Saccharomyces cerevisiae S288C: one gene and its partner. Changing the gene in region 1 together with any one later gene gives a genetic interaction. Each region holds a gene or a part of one and is shown on either strand. Other genes may lie near its edges.

Region 1 (2,931 bases):
CCAAGTGCATACTGCTGACGATACAGGTTTAGAGACTAAAGAGAGCGCATGGAAGAAAACTTCAAAGGAAGAGAAGAAGGATCGCAGAGTTCAAAGGAACTCTTAATTTGGGCCCATCTTTTGAAAATATTGTCTCTGCAAAAGCTTCGAACACCATTTTGGATCCTCTGGAGAAGGCAAGACAGAATGCAGAGGAAGCTAAGAAATTACCTTGTTAGCTTAAGGTTCCTGTTCCTAAGGGTAGCGGTCACCACAAATGGAAAAGCGACTTTCCCAATGTAATTATTTTTGTTTGTTCCGCAAGTATCTAACAATATGATATATTGCTAGTTGAAAATCGAACACTCGAGTTACTTCCGTGATAGTTTAATGGTCAGAATGGGCGCTTGTCGCGTGCCAGATCGGGGTTCAATTCCCCGTCGCGGAGATATTTTTTATCATCACAAAAATAAGATAGCAAAACTGAAGAAACGATGAGTTAGTTTTAACTTTTAAAAGATCGTCCAATATTAACATAAAGGAACCCAGTTCTTTGGAAATAACAGGAAAGTGCAGAAAGTTCATTAGAAATCAACGATGATCTGATATACATATATATATATATATATATATATATATATAAAGGTTATTAATAGCCTTCGAACAACTCATCTATCTGTGCGATGACGTTAATATGAAGTATTTCTCCTTTTCTTGTTACTAGTGAACCCTTTTTAAACATTTCAGGTTCATTATTGTAGTTTATCCCACATTCAGAAAATAGTATTTCCTGTTTCTCATTACTAAATGTTCCACATAGTTTCTTCTCGGATTCCTGGGGAGTTAAGCCACACTTTATTATTAACTGCCAAAACGTCGTATTATAAAGATTGTTTATATGTGTATCGACATATCTCCAGGATAAATAATCTTTTATCGTTTGTAAATTAGGGTATGCTACACACCTTGAATCGAAATATGGCAAATGCTTGATATTCAACGGCTTTTCTGGGAAAAACTTGGCCCATAATGCGACGTAATTGGACGTGAAAAAAGAACCAAATAAAGTCGCAAGCTTGTCTTTCCTTCTGTTAAATAAAGTTGTACTTGACTTCAAAATAAATGAGTATTCGTCACTCTCCCCGAACGCCAATATAATATCATTTTTGTACTTGAGGACAAGGTTCTTAGCACATGCATTCATTAACTTCAAAGCATTTTCATCGTTTGGCTTGGCAAACTCGTAGAACTTGGAAAATTCATGAAACTTCTTGCCGTCTATTCTTACCACAATATAACACTGAGGCAAAATAACATCGTGTGTTTCAAATTGCCTTACGTATCCAAATTTAGAGTTTGCCATCCCGCTCGCATTAGGAAGTAGAATCTTTGAACATTAAGGCACATGACTGGCTATGAGCCCTTTAAGTTTTTCTCTATCCGCATGTCTTCAATTAATTCTCCATCAGTGATTTTTAAAACAATAAAAACTTTCAATCCGGGTAAAACTGAAGAATATAGAGCGAAAAAAGCGTATGTGCAGGACAAGGGATACTTACGCCAAAAAAGACCATGTCCATTTTATTATAGGATACCCACTTGCACGGCGTCAAAGTACTCAATTGGCTGTGCTTCTTCAAAAAAACTAACATACACAAGAACCAAATTTAAATTCAACTTGGTTACCCAAAGAGAGAATTCATTATAGAAAGATATAAAAATTTTGTAGAAAAAAAACAACAACGTTGGAAATGGCGAAGACTATCAAAGTTATCAGGAAGAAGGACCCCAAAAAGAAGAACCTATCCGATCCTTTAGCAAAACAAAAACTAGTTTGGAAAATCGGACACGTTTTAACTTTAGTTTTTGGTTTATTATTTTCTATCACGTATTTCTACCATGTCCTAATCTTCTTCAAATATCGTTCCTGGAAGTGGTTGTTCTTAAGGGTCAATAAAAATTACTCGTTTATTCAAAGTAAGAGATGGTACATGAAACTTTTGAGTTGGAGCCCACAGGTAATGTACCGTTTGTCATTAATTGGCGTATTTATGTCTGAGTCCGTCACAATGCAACAGAACTGGGTTGGACTTAACCCTACTTGGAATGACCTTTTGTCCTCTGAGAACTTTCATACCCTTTTGATTGCCTGTTTATGGTTCTTTGGTGGTGGTAAGTCTTTTTACAAGATTTTGCCTTACATGATTTTAAGTTATCTACACCTAACTAAAATGAACTACGAATTGAATGCTAACAAAGAAGAAAAGATCCCTTTAACACCCAAAGACAGAAAAATGCTACACTTACTTGCGTACTCTGAATTACTTGTTATCTTAGCGCTAACACTAGACACTATATTGTTTAAGACGGGTACATCCGGATTTATGCTCGTCATTTATGTTGGTATTTATTGGTTGAGGTTGAACTTCTCTCCATACGCACAAGTGGCTGTTTTGGAGTTACTTGTCAAGTTTGAAAAATACGTCCCCAAAAAATATAGAGACAAATGGCAGGTTATAAAGAACTTTATTTATATGAAAATGAAGGAGCACGAAAAGAGAACAGAAGAAGTTGCCAGATACGCGTAAGAAATTCTCTAACTTAAGATGACCAGATGTCATGTTCGTTTACTTATTTTCCTCTCCTCTTACCTTTTTTGGCCACTAACGCTCGTACAGAAATGGACGGCATACATACAATTTAATCAATTCTCTTAAATACCGTTTTATACCTCATTTCTGACTTTTCAGCCGTTAATGTTCCTTTTTTTTTTAGACTATTGTATGTATCACTTCCTGAATGATGTCTTCCATAACACAAACGTGACGTGCAAATAAACATACATAAAAATATTATTGAAAATACAGATTATTTAAAATTATATAACCCGTTCCCTGTTTATTCAGAAGCAGTAGCTCTGGTGTAGATAGCTTGCTTGGAGTGCTTGGAGAT
Region 2 (3,615 bases), on another chromosome or scaffold:
GGTACTATTCAAGATGTTTTTGAAAACGGTGTTCTACAAAACAACGAAGAGTTCTATGTGACTACTGGTTTATTCTCTGGTAACACCGATACTAAATACTACTGGAATTTGTCCAAGAACATTTATAGGTTTGTTGGCTCTATCATTGATATTGATTTACTGAAGACATTGCATTCGGTTAATGAACACGTGGATGTCCCAGGTCATTTATCTGCCATTGCCTTTGTTTACGAGTATATCGTTAATGTTAACGAATACGCTTAAGCGCAATGATTGAATAGTCAAAGATTTTTTTTTTTTAATTTTTTTTTTTTAATTTTTTTTTTTTTTCATAGAACTTTTTATTTAAATAAATCACGTCTATATATGTATCAGTATAACGTAAAAAAAAAAACACCGTCAGTTAAACAAAACATAAATAAAAAAAAAAAGAAGTGTCAAATCAAGTGTCAAATCAAAATTTAAATGATGATGATAATATGACCATACAATGACTTAAATCAAATCAAAACCACTTGCGTAAAGGCAGTGAATATGGCCAAAATATAATACCATACACCGTTTTGCATCTTCGTTAAAGCAACACCATTCGACTTCGAGGTGGTCGAAGGCGCAGTAGCAGAAATGCTCATCAATTGAGAAGAATAGGTTTCGTTTTCTGGAATTGCAGCCAATAAATCGTTAACAGTATCAGCAGAAACAGTTCCATTGAATGGAGTGGCATCAGATATGAAAGAAACGACATTTCCACTAGAATCGAAAACAACACCACCTTTCATCGTTCCAGTAGTATTTCTTGTTATGTATCCGTAAGATTGGATACCAGTACCCAAATCCTCGATACCTTGGAAAGTGTGGAAAGTAGAATAGAGATGGTTTTTCTCCGTACCATTCATAGCTTCAAAAATATCGTATTCCCCACATCCACTAGCCCAACATGAACAGTTGGCATTGGTTGGATATTGAGAAGTCCTTGCAATGTGATCGTTTAGCAACCAAATAGCAGGCAAGTCATAGTACCCAATAGAGCTGCTATTTTTCTCAGTTTCAGTAGGCATTTCGAATTCAAACAAAAACATCTTTGTTGTACCTCCGTACCCATAGTAAGCTGGAATGCCACTACGGTAAACCCCACAACCCTTATCATAACCTGATTTTGGACATGAGACATTCGAATAGATTATGTATTCTTGATCTGAAGAAATCAAAGTGCCATCTGCCAAAACGGTAGCTTCACTGGCGCTGCCAGTACCGTTAGAACTAGCGTAGGACAAAGCATTTCCTAAACAAGGGGAAGCTTCACCTCCATGATTTAGAAAGGTAACGTTATCAGCGGTTTTGGAACTGGACTCATAGTAGGCAAGACGGTTCCAATCAGAAGAACTTCTGCTGTTGTTGACGGTAAATCCAGGGGATGTGTAAAAAGCAAATTGTTTCAACTTCAATGGTCCACGGAAATGAACGGATAAATAGTCTGCTAGTGGAGCGTTCTTACCACTAAACCATACTCTGTCACCCACTTCGCAAGTACACGATTCATTGTTGGTGATATCTTTAAACTTATTCACATCTACGTAGGAGCCTGTAAAACCAACATTAGTGAAATCCAACTTTTGGTACGACTGAGGTCCACTGGCAGCGACTGTGTGCAACATAAACATGCACACGGAAAGGACTATACTCTGTAACATTTGTCTTATTTAAGCTTGTAATGTTTGCACTTGAGTATGTTCTATTATGGCTGCTTCCTTCGATAAGGATTGTTTCTCGAGGATTTTCAGGTTTATAAATAACCTAAGCTCGGCAAAATAGACAAAAGAAAAGGGCGGAGCCAAGACTTTGAAAAAAAAAAATGGAAAAAGGAACCCTTGCAGATACAGCAAAAATGGGAAATGGAGGCTGTGGAAAAGAAAGAGGCTGATATCATTTTCTGTCTTTAGATCTACCTAACGGCTTTTCTTACATAGGAGAACTACAAATATTATGAGTATAGAATCGATGAGGAGGCCAAGCAAAGACCGTAAATTCCAGTCGCGGAAGGTCTTACGTAATAAATCGTGCGACTCCAGCACATCGTGGGCTACCTTCTTCAAAAACGCGTAACGATATTTTTTCAAGGTGTCATTCTCGTCCTCGACTTGTTCCGTGTTCACGTTTAGGAAAGACGACGGCATACCGTCTTTGCTCTCGTAATATTCTTCGCTGTTGCTATCACTGAAATTCTGCATGACGCGAATCTCTTGGAGGACTTCTTCCTTTATGGGTATCACCGTTCTTTTAGTTATGGCTTCATATTCATAAAATCCTGGGTATTCGTCTTCTTGCAAGTCGTGGAATTCCAATTCATGTGGTTGCCAATACTGTAAGAACCACCAGGCTAAAAGATTCACCAACCAGAAAACGGGGCACAAGATTCCAAAAACAAAAAACCTTGGCAGCCAAGGTTGGACAGGCACACTCATTTTACATGATTTGCATTGGCAACAGTATTTTTTCATCCAAGGGTTCTCATCGTTCTCGAAGGGCGCGGCTAGATGTTTTGTTTTATGCTCAATACTTGATGCTAAAGTAGTCATGTTTCTTGTCGTCATTCTTTGAATTTTTGTAGTCCTATGTACAAGCACAATATAAATGACAGACTAGTCAACGACGCTGACCCTTTATATGTTCCCCGTATATTCCTTGTTTTCATTGCAGTTAACATGTAAATTTCCCGATGCGGTAATTACGTTTCAAAGTCATTTCAACACTTCTATTGACAGCAAAAAAATAAAGACACTTGAAACGCACGATTTTTTCAAGAATAATATCTGTCGAGAAGATGTGTCACATTACCTATCATTACAGTGCTACTGATAGCCCACTAATGCGGATATTTAAATATATGCACCAAAAATGTATAAAGAAATAAACGGTAAAGACAAAAAAAATTACTTATTACAAATCGCAATTACAATTAAAGTACAAGACTTCCTTTGGGACAGAAAACGTGAAACAAGCCCCAAATATGCATGTCTGGTTAATTATGATGATGTTGAAGGTGGAGGAGAAGACATCCTTGTTGATGCTGATGATAATGCCAACGCCTTTTTTTGCTTCTTCTTGAGGATAATCTTATCCATGTATGAATTTATGAATTCTTTAACTTTATGCCTTTTTCCTTTGGTTAAGTCATCAGGCGGCGCTCTTGAAGAATCTTTTTTAAGTTCCTTTGTAGTTAGGATTTTCACGATGTCTTTAGCACATTGTTTAATGTTTTCATGATCAAATTGTTTACTTTGTGGGTTTTTTTTTATTAAGTTGGGTACAAAAGATGCAAAGAATTTATTCCAGTTGTGCTCTAGTCTTTGGGACTGGGAGACCGTTTTTCTTTTCAACCGCTTAGCCTCTTTTGCTTCCACTAGTTTTTTGGCCTCTTCCTTTTGTAACTCCTTCTGTTTGTTGGCCTCCGCTATAATATCCTCCAAAACGCTTTTTCTTTCATTCTCAAGCTTTAGCTTTTGCTTCAGGCTTTCCAATTCTTCTTGTTTGGCTCTTTCTAGCGCAATTCTTTCGTATTCCAGTCTTTTTTGTTTCTTCCTCTCATATTCTTCGTCACTCAGCTTATGTTTCTTA

What was found.
Region 2: mutations in THG1 (region 1) and TOH1 together harm fitness less than expected from each alone (positive genetic interaction), as found in Saccharomyces cerevisiae (one large-scale study listed by BioGRID).

The regions. Positions count from the first base shown.
Region 1 is NC_001139.9:531,255-534,185, forward strand, and holds THG1 (tRNA guanylyltransferase), read right to left. Parts: upstream 1,343-2,931; coding exon 629-1,342; downstream 1-628. Other genes in the region: YGR025W (uncharacterized protein), read left to right, coding at 1,385-1,687; YGR026W (uncharacterized protein), read left to right, coding at 1,731-2,567; 40S ribosomal protein eS25 RPS25A, read right to left, coding at 2,878-2,931. UniProt on the Saccharomyces cerevisiae protein: Acts as a tRNA(His) guanylyltransferase that catalyzes 3'-5' addition of a single guanosine residue to the -1 position of tRNA(His), to form a non-Watson-Crick G(-1):A-73 base pair.
Region 2 is NC_001142.9:99,204-102,818, forward strand, and holds TOH1 (Toh1p), read right to left. Parts: upstream 1,692-3,615; coding exon 501-1,691; downstream 1-500. Other genes in the region: CPS1 (Gly-Xaa carboxypeptidase), read left to right, coding at 1-264; ASG7 (Asg7p), read right to left, coding at 1,947-2,576; histone methyltransferase SET2, read right to left, coding at 3,024-3,615. UniProt on the Saccharomyces cerevisiae protein: Probable circularly permuted 1,3-beta-glucanase involved in cell wall modification through beta-1,3-glucan network alterations such as increased branching or remodeling.